4 linked regions of the Arabidopsis thaliana genome follow. The protein of the gene in region 2 interacts with the protein of the main gene of each other region in a biochemical or structural test. Each region holds a gene or a part of one and is shown on either strand. Other genes may lie near its edges.

What was found.
Region 1: the proteins of ZTL (region 2) and SKP1 form a complex in vitro, tested with the Arabidopsis thaliana proteins (one study listed by BioGRID).
Region 3: the proteins of ZTL (region 2) and TOC1 form a complex in vitro, tested with the Arabidopsis thaliana proteins (2 studies listed by BioGRID).
Region 4: the proteins of ZTL (region 2) and GI form a complex in vitro, tested with the Arabidopsis thaliana proteins (one study listed by BioGRID).

What each region holds. Positions count from the first base shown.
Region 1 is NC_003070.9:28,514,997-28,518,439, forward strand, and holds SKP1 (S phase kinase-associated protein 1), read left to right. Parts: upstream 1-1,522; 5' UTR 1,523-1,718; coding exon 1,719-2,027; intron 2,028-2,284; coding exon 2,285-2,458; 3' UTR 2,459-2,900; downstream 2,901-3,443. Other genes in the region: AT1G75945 (uncharacterized protein), read right to left, coding at 417-498, 710-813; AT1G75960 (AMP-dependent synthetase and ligase family protein), read left to right, coding at 3,191-3,443. UniProt on the Arabidopsis thaliana protein: Involved in ubiquitination and subsequent proteasomal degradation of target proteins. Together with CUL1, RBX1 and a F-box protein, it forms a SCF E3 ubiquitin ligase complex. The functional specificity of this complex depends on the type of F-box protein.
Region 2 is NC_003076.8:23,239,413-23,245,108, reverse strand, and holds ZTL (Galactose oxidase/kelch repeat superfamily protein), read right to left. Parts: upstream 3,683-5,696; 5' UTR 3,513-3,682; coding exon 3,268-3,512; intron 2,438-3,267; coding exon 894-2,437; coding exon of another isoform or gene 853-893; exon of another isoform or gene 786-852; coding exon 694-785; 3' UTR 519-693; downstream 1-518. Other genes in the region: AT5G57370 (U4/U6.U5 small nuclear ribonucleoprotein), read right to left, coding at 1-298. UniProt on the Arabidopsis thaliana protein: Component of an E3 ubiquitin ligase complex that plays a central role in blue light-dependent circadian cycles.
Region 3 is NC_003076.8:24,673,292-24,679,064, forward strand, and holds TOC1 (CCT motif -containing response regulator protein), read left to right. Parts: upstream 1-1,671; 5' UTR 1,672-2,248; coding exon 2,249-2,381; intron 2,382-2,698; coding exon 2,699-2,860; intron 2,861-2,996; coding exon 2,997-3,130; intron 3,131-3,280; coding exon 3,281-3,448; intron 3,449-3,532; coding exon 3,533-3,686; intron 3,687-3,779; coding exon 3,780-4,885; 3' UTR 4,886-5,259; downstream 5,260-5,773. Other genes in the region: AT5G61370 (Pentatricopeptide repeat (PPR) superfamily protein), read right to left, coding at 1-180; AT5G61390 (Polynucleotidyl transferase, ribonuclease H-like superfamily protein), read right to left, coding at 5,511-5,745. UniProt on the Arabidopsis thaliana protein: Controls photoperiodic flowering response. Component of the circadian clock. Expression of several members of the ARR-like family is controlled by circadian rhythm.
Region 4 is NC_003070.9:8,059,876-8,067,771, reverse strand, and holds the start of GI (gigantea protein (GI)), read right to left. Parts: upstream 6,022-7,896; 5' UTR 5,791-6,021; intron 5,582-5,790; 5' UTR 5,375-5,581; coding exon 5,210-5,374; intron 5,130-5,209; coding exon 5,075-5,129; intron 4,997-5,074; coding exon 4,854-4,996; intron 4,770-4,853; coding exon 4,498-4,769; intron 4,352-4,497; coding exon 4,296-4,351; intron 4,127-4,295; coding exon 3,889-4,126; intron 3,763-3,888; coding exon 3,612-3,762; intron 3,486-3,611; coding exon 3,276-3,485; intron 3,176-3,275; coding exon 1,643-3,175; intron 1,531-1,642; coding exon 1,462-1,530; intron 1,161-1,461; coding exon 942-1,160; intron 850-941; coding exon 757-849; intron 643-756; coding exon 325-642; 3' UTR 1-324. UniProt on the Arabidopsis thaliana protein: Involved in regulation of circadian rhythm and photoperiodic flowering. May play a role in maintenance of circadian amplitude and period length. Is involved in phytochrome B signaling. Stabilizes ADO3 and the circadian photoreceptor ADO1/ZTL.

The sequences.
Region 1 (3,443 bases), on a different chromosome or scaffold from region 2:
AAGAGAGAATAAAATCCACAGCATTATATAAATATTGTAGCCCTGGGAGTTCGGATATATCGGTTTAATCGGTTCGGTTTATTTAGTTTTTCGGGGTTTTTGGATTTTTTAATTTCTAGCCGAATTGAACCGAACAAAAATTCGGTTCGGGTCGGTTCGGACATCGGTTTTTTCGGTTCGGTTATTGGGTATAAATTAAATTCCGGATTAAACCGATTTTTTTTCTAATTCGGTTAATTTGAACCAAATAAACCACAAATTAAAAAAATGGACTTACAAAAATGAAATCTAATAAAAAACAAACAACAGGCCCAATACACAAATATACAGTTACAATTACAAATCCACAACACAATTATGGGTCAGGTCCATTACAAAATTAGGGTTTTGAGTTTTGACAAAAAAAATATGTACGACTACAACTCCAAACTGCGACGTCGAGCAGTGCCTCTCCAATCTAGTGATCTACCATTCCGACGACGTAATGCCCTACGAGACCTGTTAAACGCCCGTTTGTTATCCATGAAGTAAGAAAAAACATGAGATGGAAGTGTAAACCATAAAAGATCCATAAAAATAATGGATAATCTCAGATTTGGAAGTGTAAAGCCTAACTCTAAAATTTCAGAAATTATAGAGACAGAGGAAGAGCTTAGAGAGCAAAGAATCAAACAAAACAAATGATTAAAGAGAAATAAGAAGAGTTTACCCTAAGAAAGTTGAGGTTGTGGGTTGAATCTCTGAGCAAAGGTTTTTTGTAAGACCAACTGAGATTAGAGAGAATGAAAGAGGCTTGGAAGATGATGAATTCATGAAGGAGAAGAGACGAGTTGATGATTACTAATTCAATCGAAGAAAAATATCAAAGTTTCTTTGTTGTTTTCGCAAGAGGCAGAGAGCCAAAAACGAAGAAGAAACCTAATTAGGTTAAGACTCATCAATTAACCTTATATATGGCTGCAGATTCTCGGTATGGGTGAAACCGATTGGTTCCGATTACCGAACCGACCCGAACCGACTTCCGAATTCTTAAATTAATTTGGCCGATCGGTTCGATCTCCTTAATTCGGTTGCTGCCGAAAACCAAAATTTTCGTTTTTTTCGGTTCGGTTTTCTCGGGTTGAACCGTTATCCCAGGCCTAAAATATTGTATGACTCTTGACCAAAAACTAGTTAGATATATTATTTATTATGACATATTAATATTAACTTAATATAAAATAAAAATAAATGTTCAAAAAACATGATCTTAAAGCTGACAAAGCTGATTTGATTGACTAATACTTATCCTACGGTGATTTTTGGTTCTTTTACTTTTTTTGACAATTATGGAGCTGGATGGAAAAAAAATATATATAAAATCATATATTATTAATAATGAGATAAATACAACGAATTAAACGGATCAAAGTTAATATTTCCAAAAGAAAAATAGAACAGAGTCCTAATTTCATTAATTTCAACTATTGAAAACAAAATTTAAAATCAATAGGATTGATTTCTATTTTTCTTTTAGAAAAACAAAATTTGAAACAATTTCCTAATTTCCCTAAACTTGCGACTTTTTAACAATCGACCGACTTATCAAAATTAGGGATTGTTTTATATATAAAGAGAGACGCATCTCTTTATTTCATTCATCGCTTCTCCAAAATTTTCTTCAAAGAACAAATCTCCCAAATCTAAAATCTTTCTCTTCTCTCTTCGTTTCCATAACCATGTCTGCGAAGAAGATTGTGTTGAAGAGTTCCGATGGTGAATCTTTCGAGGTTGAGGAGGCGGTGGCTCTCGAGTCACAAACCATAGCGCATATGGTTGAAGACGACTGCGTCGACAACGGAGTCCCTCTTCCTAACGTCACGAGCAAGATCCTCGCCAAGGTGATCGAGTATTGCAAGAGGCACGTCGAGGCTGCTGCCTCTAAGGCCGAGGCCGTCGAGGGTGCTGCTACCTCCGATGACGATCTTAAGGCCTGGGACGCTGATTTTATGAAGATCGATCAAGCTACTCTCTTTGAACTCATTCTGGTATGTTTCTTCTCTCGATCTGATTTGATTTTTCCATCGAATTTTGAATTTTGGGATTCTAGGGTTTTCGATTTGGGAAAATTAGGGTTTCGAAATTTAGGTGTTTGTTTCAGAAATTGAATCTGCTTGAGATTGATATTGTTAGGGTTCTTATGGAACCAATCATTAATTGAATCTATCGATTTGGATTATAATCATATCTGTGTTTTTGGATTCGGATTTTGATCTAATGGTTATGAATTTGGGATCTTGTGCAGGCTGCTAATTACCTGAATATCAAGAACTTGCTTGATCTAACATGTCAGACAGTTGCGGATATGATCAAAGGAAAGACTCCAGAAGAGATCCGCACAACGTTCAACATTAAGAACGACTTCACACCAGAGGAAGAGGAAGAGGTTCGCAGAGAGAACCAATGGGCTTTTGAATGATTGATCTTCAGAGAGAAGAATCAAAAGCAGCAAGCAACCAGTTTCTTCTTCCTTATGTTTATTGCCGTTTTCAAGTGTTGTTGATGACTTGCTTTTTAATATTCTTCATGAATCATGACTATCTTCTTCCTCTTCTTTCTTTCTTATCAAGAACCAATGTTTCTTACTCTTTGTGGGATGGATAATTTGTGCTTTTAGATAATCTTCAAGAGTGATGTTGGTTTGTCTTACAAAATAACTTCTTTCAATTGTCTTGCCAATCGCCACAGAATGCTAATTTGCACGATTCATTTTAGGAATGTTCATGTGTAAATAAAAAGAAACTGAATTTGGCAGAGTCTGCAAGCAGAATGTGAAGGATCATGACGACTACTCATTGAAACCAATGGTCACCAGTTATGCCCTGCTCCTGCTCATCTACTTACATAAATATCTGCATCACGTATTTGTATCTTGTCAACATCTTCTCAAATACTAACATAATCAGCATCACCCATTCGTCAACATTCGATAACATGTGGGCTTTGTTTGCATATAAGAAAACAAAGTTTCCACTCAACCGAACGTGGATCACATGTACATCAATATAATTACTTTAATTGTTTGTCTGGCTAGTCAAGTGGTCTCTCGTCTCGTCATTGTGTATCTTATCTTTACTATGAGACTGAAAGAGATATCTTCTTTATATACAGTAACACTCACATTGTGGTCACTCGAAAAGAGCTAAAGAAAATGGAAGATTTGAAGCCAAGTGCCGCTAACTCGTTACCATTGACACTGTTAGGCTTTCTTGAGAGAGCAGCCACCGTGTATGGAGACTGTACCTCCATCGTTTACGGCAATTCCACCGTGTACACATGGCGAGAAACGAATCACCGTTGCCTCTGCGTCGCGTCTGCTCTGTCTTCCATTGGAATAGGAAGATCCGACGTTGTCTCTGTCCTATCTGCTAATACTCCGGAAATGTACGAGCTCCAGTTTTCCG
Region 2 (5,696 bases):
CTGGAGAAGGAGACCTGCGCCTGTGGTGTCGTTGACGGTCCCGGTCCCGGTCACGGTCAATCGAGCGGGAACGAGAGCGATACCTCTCCGGAGAGCGCACGTGGCGAGCACGAGCGTGGTGGTCTGGAGTACGAGATCGGGATTTTTTGTTTCTAAGCCCTCGGTCACGGTCGCGCTCTCTATCTCTTTCCCGGTCTCGATCACGGTCACGGTCACGGTCGTCTCTACCTCGGCGTCTATCACGGTCTGGTTCACGGTCCTTATCCCTCTCTCGTTCGCGGCGGTCGCGCTCTGACATGGTGGTGATGCGACTGAGGAAGGTGCTAGTGTCAGGGTTTAACCAATTTCAACACTGTAAATTTTCTTCCCCAATTTTTTCTATTAAAATGAAAATTTGGGGTTTTATCCTCTATTTTTCCAATTTTCTTATATTCATCATACTCAATGGAAAAATAATAATAATCTCATTTTGTCTCCGAACTAAAAGTATGAAATTGGAAATGAAAATAGTGGTCCAATAGCATAAGAAGAGAAAGGATCTTATTAAAGTTTGTAATCATAAATAAAATTTACAGAATATGAACACAAATGCACTTCTCAAACTTCAAAGAGAACAACAGAAACAAGCACTACAGAGAGAAAGAGAGAGATGACATTTTCACTATATATATTATATAAGCACTAAAAGTCCTCCTAATGAGGAAGAAAGAAGAAGAAGGACTTAAAAAATATGAGCAGTACCAAAGTCCCACCACTGAGTCGCTCTCCCCTAAAGCTCCAGTATCCTAACCGAGAACCCTTTTTCATCTTCTTCTATGGCTGGGTTCTCTTTCATACATAGGCTCTCTTTGGTTACGTGAGATAGCTCGCTAGTGATAATTCGTGTAGCTCACTTAGCATCCATTCTTCTCCGGTCTGACCACCTAGCACTATCGCTCGTGTTCCTCCCACAACACAAGTGCCATGTCCCCAAGCAAACCGAGGCGGTCTTCCTGGAATGTTTAGTATTCTCCAAGTCGGTTTGTCCTCCGTTGGGTCAAGTAGATAAAGCTGAGACGCTGAGTGAAGCCCTGCCACTGAGCCGCCAAATATCAAGATTCTGCCTCCAGGGAGGTTAACTGCAACGTGATCTAGCCTTGGTGGTGGTGCTACTCCTCCTGGGTTTCCTGCTCCAGGCATTCCGCTACCGGTCACACACCTCCAACAAGGCTCCTCTTCGCTTAGATCCATTGTGAAGACATCACTCGAACGGAATTTCAAAGGCCCGCTCTTAGCAAGACCACCAAACATCAAGATCTTTCTTCCTCCATAAACCGATAGTGTGTGGCCTAACCGGGAAGGCGGAGTCCAGGCAGCTGGAATCTCTCTCCACACTGGTTTCTCTATTGAAAGGTCGAGGAGGAACGTGTCACTTAGAAGAACGCCGGAATCTGCACAGCCTCCAGAGACTATCAGTTTGGTTCCGTCAAGGGTGCATGAGCTGTGCCATGATCTTGGTAGAGGCGGAGCCAAACCCGAAATTTCCCTCCAAGTAGGCGGCTTAGCATCGAGATTCAAGACAAACACATCGTTCAGCAAACCTTGCTGACCACAGCCACCAAATACAACCAGATTGGAGCCATTTACACAAGTGAGCGTGTGGCCCCAGCGTCCTGGAGGAGGGGAGCTCACTTTGACATGTTGCCATTCAGGGTAATCAGAATTCAGATCTAAAACAAAGGTATCATTCATAGGCTGCATATTCACACCTTCTCCTCCAAACAGAACAACTCTGTTCCCGACAGCACAAGCACTAAAATTACAGCGAGAAGGCTCAACAGAACCTCCAACCGAAAGTTTTCTCCAAGCTGCAGCTTCAAGGGTGGTCAGTTCTCTAGCCAAGCGGCCCCAACCGAGTCTTTTAGCACCAGGAACAGTCTCTAATACCCGTGTTGTTTCACTTCCCCATGCATTCTGACAAACCCTTCGCCAAAGATCCTCATTCTTTGTCAGCACATATAGCCTGCGGCACACAGAGCTAACAGATGCAACGTCTCTTGGTGTCAGGCGTGACAATATCTTCATAGACACAACCTCGTCACTCAGCTGGAATAACCCACACATTCCTCGGGAAACATTCCGCTCCCCAGCAGCTAAAGCTGAGTATATCCCATCAATTGACTTTTCTTTTGTTGAAGATCCAAGAACAGGTCCAAGGTCAATGTCTGTCTCGATAAAGAACTGGATTCCAATTATATGGGTAATAGTATCATCGTCTCCATAAATAGGAGTCAACCGCAATCTATTCATCAACGGAGATCCATCTTTCCTAAAGTTCAACAACTCGCCTTGAAATTCAATGCCCTCATCAATACATTTTCTTATCTCGGAAACAACCATAGAGTCAACTAATGGATGCCTTCTTTTAGCAAACGGTCCTCTACATTGCAAGAAGCGGCTGCAGAATCCGAGAAATTAATTAAGAAACAATATAAGACCAAAAACAAAATTTATCTCCAACTTACTGATGCGGAAAAGCAATAGACAAAATATTTGGCCGTGCATGTAGAGACTGAAAAAAAAAACAAATACACCAAACAAGCATAATTATAACCTAACCAGATTTTCATTCTGTTCAAGAATAACAACTATTTGAACTGATCAGCTCCTCCTGTAAGATCAAAGCTTATTAATAAAGGAAGCTACTAGCACTTCTCTCATGGAAAACTAACACACAACTAAACGCATTGGACTTAGCCTTTTCACTGGTTCACTGCACATCAACATTGTAAAGAATTTATTGTGTTCGCTACGACCCCGAGAAACTACACAGGGATAGCTCGCTTTATCTCGGCATCTATATACACTTTCAAGTTTCCTTAACATGCGGAGCAGCTGAAACAGCTCAAAAACAGCCATGAGAGCTCGATTAATATGAAAACTACAATCACTGAATAAACATCTGAAGGCAGAGAATACTTAGGCACACACAGAGACTCCACTGAGTCTTCTCTGCCATTTGGCAGAGACTCTAATGATTATCTAACAATAGACATATCTTTGTTTTCTCTCCACCAAAGTATCCATCCATACTAAATCTAGTGATCAATAGAGTGTCCTTCAGATTACCATCATCACAAACATTCCTCACCTATCCTCAAACTAAACGGACCTTAATCAAACTCCACCAAGTAGCCAAAATTTGGTAAAGTGAGCCAATAACCAAAAATAGAAATTCCTCGCATCAATTAGAACACTAATCACAAAGATAACAAAAAAACAACTAACCAATTTCCTCCGAGAACTTCCTCAGCACGATACCCTGTAACCATTTCGAAGACGGTGTTGACATATATAATAGGTTGGTCCGGCTCAACGGCATCAGTAACAACGAATCCACAAGGCGCCGTGTGAAGCAAATTCCCAACGGGATATGGAATTGGTCCACCTCCGGGAAAAAGACCTCCCTCTTCATCATCCGCCAGTGACGAAGCATCATCGGCGCTTAGATCGGAACCACTGTCCCACTCCATGAAAATTCAAATAGTTACCAGACTGATTTCAGTCGCCGGAGATTATGAAGACGGCGATTGAAAAACAATCCGGCGTGAGATAATCGGAAAATTTTGGGAAAAGGAGATTTTCGGGGGTTGAGAGAGAGAGAGAGAGAAGATGGTGGACAAAGAAACGAGTGGTAACCGTCGAGTTTGGTGGAAAAATCTCGGCCGTATGAGTTCATTCGAACGGGTCGGATTTTATCCGGGTCCGGATTTCTCTGTCGGGTCAAGTAGATAAAACCATAAAACTCCCCTTGATTTTTGGGAAAAATGTCATTAAAATCTCCAACTTATTGAAAAAGTTGATTTAAATTATCAACTTCCAACTAAACGAAATAAATATCAAATTTTTGTTGACTTTCCAAATAAATACCAAACTTTCGTATATATGGTCATATTAGGTATAATATTAAGTAGATTAACATATTGCGTTCACGGAGTTAATTTTCTGTTAACAGATCCGTTAATTTAAAACGTTATTGTTTCCTATAACAAGAAAGCGACCTCGTTTTATTATAACGACCGAATTAAATTCCCAAATCCAATCTTAAATCTCCAAATCAAGCAAAATTCTAACCCTAAATCTTCATATGATTTGAAATTGGGATTTAATTGAGCATTTATGACATAACGACGTTGTTTTATTGTTATAGGGAATATTGTCGTTTTCAATTAACGAGTCTGTTAACAAAAAATGGACTCTAATAACAGGGTCTGTTAATGTCATACTTAATATGGCTACTCGAACAAAAGTTTGATATTTATTTGGAAAGTCAACCAAAATTTGGTATTTATTTGGAAAATCAACAAAAGTTTGATATTTATTTCGTTTCGTTGGAAGTTGAGGATTTAAATCAACTTTTTCAATAAGTTGGGGATTTTAATGACATTTTTCCCTTTGGTTTTTAGACTCTCTTTAGCTGAGCTGAAGCTTATTACTTTCCAAATTTGTGGGCTCATGTCTTACAATAAAGCCCATTACAATAAAGCCCATTATAGTCCAGTAAATGAGATTATGTGACTGAATAGTATGAGTTTCGTAATAAGAAGACGCCATAAAATGGAAAAATAGCAAGATCTATAATTATAGTTACGTAAATGAAAATTTGTTAAGGTTGTTGGTTGCTAAATCTTTTCTTGAACCGTCTCAATTATCAATTGCCTATCATTTAATCTCTTCTGTAATGTTCCTTTTATACGCAGAGGACCAAACTAGTTACATCAAATCAATAGATAGTTAGTTGAAACAAATAACTTCTCGTAACTACTGGTTAATCGAATCGGTTCGGTATATCATAGAATCATAGGTGCAAACAGACTTTTAAACCAACATCAAACAGCTGAATTGGAATTAAGATTTAACCCAACTTTAGTGTTTTATATCAACAATAATAAGAATAAGTTGTAAGTACTTATATATAAGTAGTTAAGTACTGTTTTATATCACCAATAATAAGACTGTTTTATAAGCCTAAGTTACCGATATGGGGCAACTATCTTATGAACTTTATTTGAAGGTTATTATCTCATGAAATGAATTGACATACTCAATTTAACAAAACAGGCTTACCTCGTGTTATTAATTATAAGTTTCGTATAAAAATAATAAAATTGATAGTAAAAGTTAAAACAAAATGGAGAAATTGTTTGTAATGATGCTAAATACAATTTTTTTGTATTATATTTCCCTTACAAAGTAGCAAATTGGTCAAAATTCTTCGTCACCTCTTTCTTTTTTCCGACATTCTTCACCTCGTTCTGTAAAACTACTAAGTAAGTAACTAATACAATGCCATACGACTAAACAATATCTTCGCAAATAAAAAGAAAAAGAAAATATTTCTTTTAAATTATGGTATTTAGTTTTTAACAAAAATATAAAATATAGCGATTTACATTTGTATTACTGATATAAATAGATCATATAATTTTGACATTAAAGACTTTAGAAAAATTATAATTGTAAATATTTTTTTTGTGTATGACAATTTAACACATAAAAAGGACGTGAGAGAACAAGTGGGTTTGGTCGGTTGTTTTCTTTACACTTTGCAAAATTCTCTATTCATTCATATCTTCGACGAGATGCTAAAATGCCCCCACTATAAAATTCCTTTTTCTTTATACAAATTTTGAAAGAAAAAAAATTCCATAATATCA
Region 3 (5,773 bases), 1.4 Mb from region 2:
CTGGTTCAAGTTTTCTTCAAGGTCATCTAGACCACCAACTGGAGAAGAAACTATCCGAATAACTTCATGCAACGCCGTTTCCGATCGGTCAACTAAATGGTGAGAGCAAAAGTAACGTGTCAGTTTTGCAGTACTCGTTAGATACGTAAACCTGTTTAATCTGACTGTGGTGGACATCATCTTCTCTGAGGAATTTCATCAAACACTTGATATGCGTATGCTTCTTAAAAGCCGCCAAATATAAACCATAGAAGGGACTCTCTCCTGACTTACATGTTTCTCAGAGTATTTACAACTTCGTTGTAAATTCTTTCAGCAACATGAAATTCAGATTTCTATTAAAAGACCTAAATTTGCAGATTTCATGAGATCGCTCGGCTCAACAACAATATATATTCATTTGTTGGAAACATTGCCCGCGTGTCTGAAAAGGGCATTTTAGTCTTTTACATTCCATCACGCTTCAAATTCAGAACCGGATAAAACCGATAATCGTGAGATACGATGGTTATAACTTATAAGTCACTAACCGGAATGATTACTCTCGAAGGCCGCCGATGCATATTGGAAAATCGAACTCCCGATAAAATAGTTCTGAAATTACACGAATAATTAACATCATAAAGTCATAAACAAGTTATTGGTCAATGGTCGATGGCAAAACGTAATAAAAGTTGGACCGGGACAAAACGTGTCTTACGGTGGATGAAGTTGAGAATATATCATGCATTATTGGTCCACTTGTACTAACGATATTCGCAGCTACTAATATGAGCCAATCGGTAATACGAAATATTTTAGCTTGTCGACTACTTACTTTCTATATAAAAGTTTAGCCTACTAATTATCTCTTTTTATGATTATGACAACTTGATTATTTGTTTCCCAACCACTGATGATGAGATTAACCATCTTTTTTGCTAAGAAGGTAAATATTTCATCTTGCTAATGTCCTGTTTACAAGACAATTTGCACACATACACTTATAACATTAGAAAAAAACACTTGAAACTTTGTTACAACATATCATTTAGCTTGATTTTTCAATCACTTTAAGAAGTTAATGAATCATAATGCCTAAATAAGTCCTCTATAACAACCATGAAAGGAGTGTTATATCTATAACCCTGTGCTTTTAGAAAGAATCATAATTTTTAGGAGTCTTTTGTGATGAGAAATTGAGATGTAATAAAAGTAAAATTTTCTATATCTGTATCTTTCGTTTTTTATTTTTATTTTGTTTGTATCTTTAATTCTTCAGTACCTAAAGATAACAGAAAAATAAAATTCTGATAATAGATTTTCTTGTTGTTATAAATATATTTTAATAAACGAAACGAAGCCGAATCCTAAAATTTGGTTTCTGATGGTTTGGTCTGATCTGGTCATATATTTTAAAAGAATTTGCAATTTTTTCTTTCTGTCGACCTTTTGATATGTTTGTTGATTTTGATATGGAGATGCATCTTCTTATCTTGTATCTTACCACAATAATATCAAAAACAAAAATAAATATCATGAGATATTTTCTCCAAGATGACGTGGCCTTTTCTCTATCTCAACCAAACTATCCAACACAACCTTTTTTTTTATGGCCTGCACTTTTTATTGTCCACGTCATCTCCTTGGCCTAAAATATCCCAAGTCCCACCATTAAGCTACACAACAACGCGTAAGAAAAAGACTTAATCTCCACCGTCCAATTCTATCCTCTTTCAACGGTCTCTGATTTACCATCTCTCTCTCTCTTTTTCGCGTCTCATAATTTGACCATTGATTGACAAAACAAAACAATGAGTCTTCTTTCTCTTCTCACTCTTCTTGTCGGAAATTCACCTTCTCTCTCTCTCCTCCTCATCTCACCGCCGGCGTTACGCCGGATCTCCGGTGACTTTTGTTGAGCTTTTTTGTTGATTCATGATTCGATATAGAGAAAAAAGAATTTCCTATTTCAGCTCTTTGTTCTTAGATTTATCTTTTTGTTTGTTCTTATGGATAAAGGATTAGGTTGGGGGATTAAAAGAGTAGTTTTTGTTTGGTTGTGAGATTACTTGACTTTGTTAAGGGGATAAATTAGGCGACTTTGTAGGGACACTGTACCGAAAAACCCTAGTTCTGATTTGGCCATGGAAGTATCATAGCACTTACTATTGTCGGCTTTACTTCTTCTACTTTTGTATAATCCTTTTTTTTCTTAGGTTCTGTGATTAGATATTTTTTTTGTGTGGGTTTAGTTGTTAATCTGATCATGGATTTGAACGGTGAGTGTAAAGGAGGAGATGGGTTTATTGATAGAAGCAGAGTCAGGATTTTGCTTTGTGACAATGATTCCACGAGTTTGGGAGAGGTTTTTACTCTCCTTTCAGAGTGTTCTTATCAAGGTATGATTTATAGGTTTGTCCTTGTCTTGTTCCCAAAGTTTCTCTTTTTACTTTGTTATTTTTTGCTAAGTTGGGATTACTACTTTAGATTGCAGATCTCTTATAGGTTCTTGTCGTCTGGCTTTTTGAGTCAGTATGGTCAGATGTGATCAAGATGACATTTTTAACCTTTGTTGATTTTAGTACCTTATTGATAGTTTTTGAATGCATCTCTAGTGTGTATTGCTTTCTATTTTTACACTATGCTCAACTGTTTGTTGTTCAAGACTCAATGATGATATATTGGATGAATTGTTTTTATTCTTTTTGGAATGCAGTGACTGCAGTGAAATCAGCAAGGCAGGTGATTGATGCACTTAATGCAGAGGGACCTGATATCGATATAATACTGGCGGAAATTGATCTCCCAATGGCTAAGGGTATGAAGATGCTGAGGTACATCACACGAGACAAAGATCTTCGCAGAATCCCTGTGATAAGTAAGCTGTGTTCTTTGTTGCTCTTCTCGTTTTATTATCTATTCGTGAAGTTGTATCTTCTCTGCTTATCAAAGTGCTTTTGACAGCATGATCATTAGCTTTATACTGACTAATCTTATAATATTCTCAATTTAAGTGATGTCGAGGCAAGACGAAGTCCCTGTCGTTGTAAAGTGCTTGAAGCTAGGTGCAGCTGACTACCTTGTGAAGCCTCTTCGCACCAACGAGCTTCTGAACTTGTGGACACACATGTGGAGAAGAAGACGCATGGTTTGTTTTGCTTGTCTCAAGTTCTCTCTATTTATCTTACTGTTTTTGAGCAATACTTGATAGCCATATCTCTCAATCTGTCGTCTTCTGAAATAAAAGACCTTGATGCATGAAGTTAATGCTATTGATTTCATATATTTGTTTTGGCAGCTAGGACTTGCTGAGAAGAATATGTTGAGCTATGATTTTGATCTTGTGGGATCTGATCAAAGTGATCCAAACACAAATAGTACCAACCTGTTCTCTGACGACACAGATGATAGAAGTCTTAGGTCCACCAACCCACAGAGAGGAAATTTAAGTCACCAGGAAAATGAGGTGAGAAAGTATTTGACAGTTTAAAGCCCTCTGAAAATGGAGAAGAACTGATTTTTTAGCTTGCGCTCATGCTTTTGCTGGTAGTGGTCTGTTGCTACTGCTCCTGTTCATGCTCGTGATGGTGGTCTTGGTGCTGATGGAACAGCCACTTCTTCTCTTGCTGTTACTGCTATAGAGCCTCCATTGGATCATCTTGCTGGGTCTCACCATGAGCCAATGAAAAGAAATAGTAATCCAGGTGATTGTTTCTCTTTGATGTCTCACTTTCTAATAGCTAGTCTCTAAAAGAACCTTTGTTTTAGTGAATTCTAATATAGTAGGGGTTTTGCAGCGCAATTTTCTTCAGCACCGAAGAAAAGTAGATTGAAGATCGGAGAGTCCTCTGCTTTCTTTACATATGTCAAATCTACTGTCCTTAGAACTAACGGTCAGGATCCTCCTCTTGTCGATGGAAATGGCTCACTTCATCTTCATCGGGGTTTGGCGGAGAAGTTTCAAGTGGTGGCTAGTGAAGGGATCAACAACACCAAACAAGCACGCAGAGCAACACCAAAATCTACTGTCCTTAGAACTAACGGTCAGGATCCTCCTCTTGTCAATGGAAATGGCTCACATCATCTTCATCGGGGTGCGGCGGAAAAGTTTCAAGTGGTGGCTAGTGAAGGGATCAACAACACCAAACAAGCACACAGAAGTAGAGGGACCGAGCAATACCATTCTCAAGGAGAGACCTTGCAGAATGGCGCCAGCTATCCACATTCCCTTGAGCGGTCACGCACGCTTCCCACATCAATGGAATCTCATGGTAGGAACTACCAAGAGGGCAATATGAATATTCCCCAAGTTGCTATGAACAGAAGTAAAGATTCGTCTCAAGTTGATGGATCGGGTTTCTCTGCACCAAATGCCTATCCTTACTATATGCATGGGGTCATGAACCAAGTTATGATGCAATCAGCAGCCATGATGCCTCAATATGGTCATCAAATTCCTCATTGCCAACCAAATCATCCGAATGGAATGACGGGATATCCTTACTACCACCACCCAATGAACACATCTTTGCAGCATAGTCAGATGTCTTTACAGAATGGTCAGATGTCTATGGTTCATCATTCTTGGTCACCGGCAGGAAATCCGCCTTCTAATGAGGTGAGGGTAAATAAACTTGACAGAAGAGAGGAAGCTCTGCTGAAATTCAGACGTAAAAGGAACCAACGTTGTTTTGATAAGAAGATTAGGTATGTGAATAGGAAACGCCTTGCTGAGAGGAGACCCCGCGTTAAGGGTCAGTTTGTTAGGAAGATGAACGGCGTGAATGTTGATTTAAATGGACAGCCTGACTCTGCTGACTATGATGACGAGGAAGAGGAGGAAGAAGAAGAAGAAGAGGAGAACCGGGATTCATCTCCTCAGGATGATGCTTTGGGAACTTGAAGATACACCAAGAACTGAAAACCGTTGTGTTATACGTATTTGCTTGCATCTTATCAAACAACAGAAGATGTTGATCGACTGACACGAAAAAGATGATACTGCTACAGCCAAAAAAACATCGAATATCGAGTTGTCTCTAAGGCAATGTTGGCTCTTGCGGCTCAACTTTTTGACAGAGCATTGAAAAGCTCTCATTGGGTTTAGCTTAGTTCGTTGATAAACATATAATGTATTTTATCATGTTCACTCACATTCTCTCAGTAAGTACTCAGATGTATTAACCTTTCTTCTCCTTCCAGTATCATTTACTTGAATCTTGTTTTTCCCTCGCTCTCTCACCTGTGTTTACATATATAATTATATATAATCGCTCCATGTCTTCCACCACTAAAGCTTCTGTCTTTCCTCGGAAAAACACAATACAAATGCAATTGTGTCACAGACAAGAAGCATATGAAAATCTAAATTTGGATTTAAGTTATCTGAAACTAAGAACATAATCAGCTGTATATCTACTGTCAGGAACAACAGTTCTGTGTTTCTTTCATGACTACATAAATAAATCTCTACAGTCCACTAAACTCTGATTTCTTTAATTCTCTGTGGTGCTATTGAGTAAGGTCCACTAATGTATAACAAGCTTTCTAGCAACTAGACGGATTCCGGCTCTCTGCTGATAATCATATGGCTCCAGAGACAAGAAAGCGTCAAGAACAGTTCTCGGATTCAACAAAGACTCAATCTCTTCAGCCTTGGGGTTGCTAGAAATGAGTTTCTGAGTAGCAGTAGCTCCAGAGAACTCTTTCTGGTGTATCTCAGCTGCGTACCGATCTATATCTCCATTTAACTCTGTGGGTATACTGCACATACAAAGAAATAATCAGGAAA
Region 4 (7,896 bases), on a different chromosome or scaffold from region 2:
TTTGCTGTTTTAAGAGTATTCGGAAATAAGTAAATTTGTAAATTTTTCACTTCTATACATTACGATTTAGAATCCACTGAAGACTAAACACCAGACGCACAAAAAAAAAGATTGAGCTACTTCGTCATTTAAAATGTACAGAGAAGAGGTTGAGTTATATAAGACACCGAGCGAGAGCAAATCCAACGCCGGTGGGAGTGATTGCGTCAGTCACTCATCATTACAACATTACATACAACAAACTATATATATATTCTTCTTGGTCTACGTCCAAATGTTTTGTCTAGAGAACTAAAATTTACCAAAAACAAAAGTGGGTGCTCGTTATTGGGACAAGGATATAGTACAGCCGAGTTCCCGAGCCGCAGTGTCGAGAAACTGAGTAGGCATAGTTGTGGAGAGCAAGCTGTGAGCTTCCCAGTTTAAACAGTTTTGGATATCGGCTTTCCAGTCTATTGAGGCGGCGTTGAAGAATCGATAGGACGGACTATTCATTCCGTTCTTCTCTGTTGTTGGCAGTTTTGGAGTTACTTTGATGGGTATGGAGCTTTGGTTCATGATATCACGTAGTACTGACGTGCTTAAGGCACGTACGTGTGCACTTGGGTGTGAAAGGCACCGTATTGTTGCTGGTAGACGACACTGCATAGAAGCAAAAAGATGTGAACAAGGTTAAGCACTTTGGTAACTGGACCTACTACTGATCATCTACAATCGACGCAGGAAACCATAGGCTCTGTTCGATTCTGCTTTTACCTTCAATAGATTGGATAAACCGTCGACCACTGCTAGTCCAGATGGCCCCCAAGCTAGCACCGGCTGTATTGCTCTTGCCGTGGCTTCAAGTAGCTGCAAAAGTTTAAAATACAGTGGAATCAGAAAATGATTATTACTCTAGCCCGAAGAAGGGCATTGAAGAGCAATCTATAACAGTGCAGTACCTCAAGTTGAGGTAATGTACAAGCTTCTCCATCAACAAGCATTCCATCAGTTGCCCGCAGAAGAAGATCTGATGCACTTGCGAGAATCACCAGTGACTCAGGCCTGTCATGATTGCGCATGAGTTCCACCAACACTTTGACTATCCGTTGGTTGATTTTCCACATTTTTTGGCCTTCTTCATCATCTTTGGCGATCCAAGGCTGCAACTCCCTTTCAGCCTGTAAATAACACAAGACCATTTCAGACAATAGAGCATTAGAGTAAATCCTTCAACATATGAGCTTGAAACAAGCCATTATTTTACACAGATTTTTTCTTCCTTATTTCCTATCCTTGGCATATTAAAACAAGTGTTGCATATAAATTCCAAGCTTAATTTTTATAAATTCATGAGAGATCAAATGAGTGAACCAAGCATTATAAAACATTAACACAGGCCATAGGTTTTCCGCAGTTTAATCTTTACACAGGTGTTGCATTCCTGACAAATGAAATAAAAAGTCAAAGAGTAATTTGGACCTGAAGGACAACTGCTGCTGCTGCTTTCGCTGGCGTTGCAGATACGACATTGCATAGCGCATCAACAACCTGATATATAAAAAATATGATCAGTGTATGAAGTCGAGCGACTTAATTGGATTAGTAAAGAACTACCAAGGAAACTGTAAGCGAGCTGGGAAATAGAAGTGCTGAGGTTTACCTGTCTCCATCCTTGTTGCGCAGAGGTGCTTTCTGCGGTGGGCTGGATTTCAGGAGCAGCAATCAGTTTGTGCCATAACAGTGAAACAACGGAGAAAGACAGCTCCGGTTTCTCTGCAAGCACTGACCTCAAAAGCTTTTGTGTACCACAATAGAACCCTGCGAGTCTATCAGCTGTGAGGAAATTCGCAAGATCAGAAGCATCCAAGAGGAAATCTTTGATACCCTTCTCTGAGGGTCTCCCTGAGCCTTCATCTGAATGTCTAGCATACTTATGGTTTCCTCTTGGATTCATTTCAGTCCTTGAGGCGGATGTCACCGCTGTATCAAAGCATGTGGTGCTTGCACATGTGTTCTCTTGTTTCCAGTTTAAACAGGTCACAGAATCCTTCTGAACCGGTGTATTCTTAAGGTAGGCTTCCAAGGGTTCAGCTTTGTCAACAATGGAGGCAACAACTTTGCTGTGAACATCTATGAGGTTATATAATGATGATGCTCTTTTATGAATTTCCTTATCCCACTTACATCTCATCAACCCAGACAATGCATGCGTCAAGGCCTTTGAACGTCTGAACAGTTCGGAAATATGAGCTGCAACCATGGCCGCAGCAACTATCTCACTAGAACTGTAACTCCATGGAGTCCCCACAGAAGATGGTTTTAATGAAAAGAGTGCCTCTAGGATTGCCAAAATTCGGCGCGTATGACTAATTGCCGAGTCAATCCCAGCTCCATACTCTTTAGATGACCCATTTATCTTTACAGGCTTTGTAATAGTTCCAGCCACGGCAGAATTGGAAAAGTTCCCCCCACCAGAGATCATAGGATACAGCTGAACCTCACAGGCAAGAGCACAAACAGCAGCAAGAACGTATGAATCAAATGCTGCCACAGGTCCCTGTCCCTTGACATTCCTACTTTTACGGTTAGCAGTTTGATTGTTAGATACAGGTTGATTCGCCTCAATATTTTCAGTAGTACTAGCATATTCACTTCTCGGTCTCTTGCTACCACTAGACTGTGCTTCATGGCTAACACATACAGTCAACACAACAAAAAGTAGGCGTGAAGCTAATTCCACACCAGCGCATGATTCTAAAAAGAGAGCATGGACCATAGCACGAAGCTCAGACATAGCAAGATTTTTGGTCGCTGATCTTGTGGTAAAACTCGATCTAGCTTTTCTGGTTAGTTCCCTGGAAGATTCAGGCGGAAAAGTTCTACTGAGTATTGTTTCCACAGTGGCAACAAATATTTTCATCAAGCATGCTTCCGAAGGACTCCCCCGTGGAAGATATTCAAGTACTTTGAGGAGTGGAATGTATAAATTCCATGACAAGATAGGAGGTTGCAGTGGGGTAGCAACTATGATTTCGGGAAGATCAACCGCCGAAGAATTTAAAGGGATCAAACCATAAGCAGCTTCCCATATAGTGCAAATTCTCCACTCAACTTCAGGACCATGAGCACAAAGCATTGAGGCAATTCCTTGGGCAGTGGCTTCAATGGTTGCTTCTGCTGCAGGAACTTCTATCTGTTGAGATGAAATGAGTCAGTTTCAATATAATTTTCTAGTAGAATGCCAATCGCATATCAGAGATGGAATAGCAGAAAAATATAAAGAGGAACCATGCCTGTTTTCTGTAATTTGAACTGTAGCCACCAATAGGCGCGTGCTGAATTTCTACTCCCTCAACTTGACTTAGCGGAGGAAAAAGCAGTGCCGGCTGTGAGAGTATGCGGAAAAGCAAAGCGGCTGCAGCATCAGCAGCAACACCTGCCCTCATAGACATAGCAATTCCTATAGCCCGCAAGAAGTGCAAATGCATCCAGTTCCTGGGTAGCTGCACCAAGAAAAAGAATGTGATCAAAGCTGATTTCTTTGATGACATACCAAAGCTGACTTTTTTTATAACAAGGGACACAATTAGCTTTCTGGAGGGTAATTAAGAGATTCATATTACGCTTACCCTTACACCAGATGCATAATCTTCAGCAGCTCGAAGGAGTTCCACAAGCTGTACAGCAGCATCAAGTGCATCTGGAGCCCACGACGGTGGTGCTTCTAAGAGTCCAAGAAGAAGTCTCTGCGTAGCACTTGGAGTTGCAATGGCATAGTATCTGACAGTATAACAGGAAAGTGAGAAAACAATTCTGATCTAGGGATTCGAGGAAGCACAACCTTAAAACTAGCAACAGACTACTACCAATAAACCCTAATTGAAAGGGTAAGCCCAGAAACAATACCTATGAAACAAACGTGCATATGGTTCAAGAGCTGGAAGGCCAGCAACTAGATGCTCATCTAAGGATGTCGTTGGCGGAGGAAGAAGAAGTGCAGGGACAGCGACCGCTGTCAGCGTAGCAGTCTCATATCGAGCAACTTCATCATCACAAACACTCAGTATGACACCAGCTCCATTAGCAACAGCCCATCTTGGGGTTGAAGGCATCAGTTGAGGATGTTTACCAGATCCTCGAGAAGCTGCCAAAGTAGGACAACATGAAAGTTATAGGAAGCAACTCAAAACACATTCTATAGCCACAGGTGATGGATACACATTTATGAACGAAGTGATAGAACAACTCTATTGATCAGAATTATCATCAAAATCCAGTTCCAGGGGATATTAACATGGAATTCTTGAACTCACCAATGGTTGGCGGCTTGAGCTCTCCAGCAGCATATTTACCCATTACACCACTACACCTGTAAATAATAAGCAACATTTTTAGTTGTCAGTAAGCTTAATCCACTACAGAACCTCAATACATAGACCTCAGCAGAGAGACCAAAATAAAAGAAGGAGGCCGGCGCATGAACACATAGAAGCATCAGTAACAGAGTCTACTTACCATCGGAAATAGTCACTTCTTATACCAAGAGGAGCAGCAAGTAGTATATCACTGATCCATGGAGACAAAGGCCTTAAAGGTTTCCTTTCATGCTGTGTTGGTGATCCAGCCTTAGGCTCTGAAGTCGGAGAACCACTAGTTGTAGCTTTGCTCAGACAATTTCTCTCTGTATCTCCATTTTGCTGCTCAGTTTTATAAATGGGACGGTTGTAATGAGTCAAAATGCGAAGGATTTCTCCACATGCCAAAGCCCATTGCTCCGAATAGTCATTCTGTTAGGATAGTGAACATGTTAGCACAAAATGGTATAGGTTACACCAAATCAGTAAGCATGATACTAGACAGCTATTATATACCTCACTACTTGGGCAAACTAAAGATATGAAAGAGGCAAACGGATGAGCTTCCTTGCTGTACACCAACGAGCCATCAATAAGACATGAAATGATTGGAAGAATGACTGCATGACCATGCTCCGGATGATGAAGGACAAACATCGCTGTTTCATCAGAAAACGAAAATCAGATAGACATTCACACACAAAAAGAGAAGTGTGGATCATAAATGTTGATCATACCCAGCACATCGTCTAAAAGTCGCTTCTCAGTTGATGGATACTGATGCCGGACCAACTGATACAGATAAATTATACATGAATCAAAACGTCACTACTAAGAGAATACTCTTATTAAACTCATTAGGTATCAAGTACCTCAGCAATGTCATCTGGGAATTGCTCTGATGTAAATTGACCAAAATATTCAACATAAGCAACGACTTGATCCTTATGTTGTTGAGGATCTCGTGGCGGAGGCCATAACAAGGAAGAGAACTGAAGACCATCGATCCATCTCTCAGATGAAGATGAACTAGCCATCCAGGAACCGAAACTAAACCCCAACTAGATGAACGAACAATCTAACTAACACCTTTCTTCTACTATCAATCGAGAATCAATACGACGTAGTGTTAACATTCGCCAGCAAGAACAATCACTATACACATCTCCCAGATTCTTTTAAATCCTTTTTATACTAATCAACACACTGTACACTAAATCGAAGCTGAATCAAACAGCTAAACCCTGTAACAACAATTCAGAAGAACAAAATCTCAATCAGATAAGATGTCAAATCAAACAACAAATCTAAGCTGAGAAAACAAAAAATGCTAGTAGAAACAGTGATTTACCAAGAACTTATTTAAAAAAAAAAGACATCAAATGATTCGGGAAAAAATCTCATCTGAGAATCAATCAACCAAAAACCACGAAAAAGGTAGTAGAAGAAAGACCTGAAAGTAAATATGTCTTCCTATGAGTTTGTTGGTTGGTTATCTCTACTCTTGCTTTTTTTTGGCTTTGAGGATATTTTTGAGAGATCGACGAATATCGGAGAAAAAAAGAATACATACACAGAAGAAGAGATTGTGGTGGCCTTAGGAGAGAGAGAGAGAAAAAAGAGATTTGGAGGCTTCTCCACTCGGTTTAAGATTTCCCGTCTGCTTACGTGTCATCGATATTTCCTTGCCTTTGCCACCACCTTTATGCGCCATTACCATATAACCATCATCATCCCACATACATCTCCACCCATACCATGGTTAAAAAATTTACCATATTTTTGTTACATTTTTTAAGCATATATATATGAAATTTTATTTTAAAAAATTTTACTGGTAGTTTATGTTAGTGTTGTTTTGGAATCACAATGCGAATTCAAATTCGTATATTGTATGTTACAATCACCAAGAAAAATGTTTGCCAATTTAAGTAATTAATTTTAATCCTAATAAATAAATTTTGTAAACTCAGATTTACTCCAAAATTCTGTCTATTTTTAACCATGAGCTAAGTTTAAAATCTACTTAAACATATAATTATATCAATAATATTTGGCTGTTTTAAAATAAACCATTACATTCACAGTATGGCATATATTGGTAAAGAATTTGTACAAGTAATCAGAGAGATTATTTTATTTCAAGGTTTGGTGGTCATGATTGTATTATTGAGTTATTAATTTAAGTATATAACATCTCTCATGTGATTGCCTAATTAATTAATAGTTTCATTACACAAAAAAAAAGCTAGTGACATATGTCCACAGATATTTTGAGGGGAGCTAAGTTCAGATGCTACGAGATGTTACGTACACCTTCGAATTATCCACCGTTGATTCAAGCCCACTCAACAAATTCCTTTAAGAGATTTCGGGCAGCTAGCCCAGAATAGTTTCGAGCCGTTCGATGGTTGTAGATAAACGGGCAGCTTTTGAGGAACAGCCCGTTGAGAAAATATCTAAATGGGCCTCACACATCTTTTAAGATATTTTAAAATCTTACCACTTGTCTCTACTGTACCACATAAACAAGTAGCACAATAAAATGATGACGTGTACCAATCAGAGTGGAGCAAGAGATCTGTGGACGTTGATCACTCGCCAAATAAGAGACGTGGCGCAATAAGATGTGAGCAATATATTGTAATGATCTCCATACGATTCGTGATTGTGTGGTCCACTTCTGTCTGGATGGCTCTTGTCTGAAGAATACTCCATGGTAACATAACTGGGCTTTGGTCATGTACCATGTGATGTGATGGGCTCAAACCTTACGTGGAGTTATGTAACTGGGCTAAATTGTAATTTTAATTTTTCAGTAATTGCTTGTAATACAAATATATTTTTTGATATCAAATTGTAATTTTGAGGAGAACTTACTATTATTAATGAAGATGATAAAATGTTACATTAATGTATCATTCTAATCATAGTAAATATATTAAGAATTACCTCAATTTTTTGGTTTATGATTTACCAATTAGGGAAAACATTAATTTTAATAAAAGCTACTTTGCCTACCTCTTTTTTTTTTGTTAATATATCATTTTAATAACAAGCTTTTATTAAAGTAATATTATGGTGGAGAAATTTTTATAAAATTCTAAAACTTTTTGAAAAGGCGTATTCTCAAATTGTAGGCATTTCAGTTGATATATTATAAGTTTAAGTTATAGTCCAACGAATTATTTCTTTTGTGGTTTAGCAAACGAGATGTTCATCATTACCCATTTCATTGTCAACAAAACCTTTAGAAAATGATATTAGTTATCTTCAAGTATGACTATTATAAATTTATACAGTACAATATACTTTTTTCACAGAAGGACCGTGACATCAATCAATTTAGTATAAGAAAAATCAAATGGAAAAAAAAAAAAAAAAATCAAATGAACATCTTTGCAACGCGAAACTAAGCTCAACACTTGATTTATTCATTATGTTATACTTTAAATTTAAAAATCTTTAATGATATCTTCTTCTTTTTTTGCTAAATTCAAAAAATCTTTAATGATATATAAATTTAGTAAATATTACTGATTAGAGATATGCTGGTTTA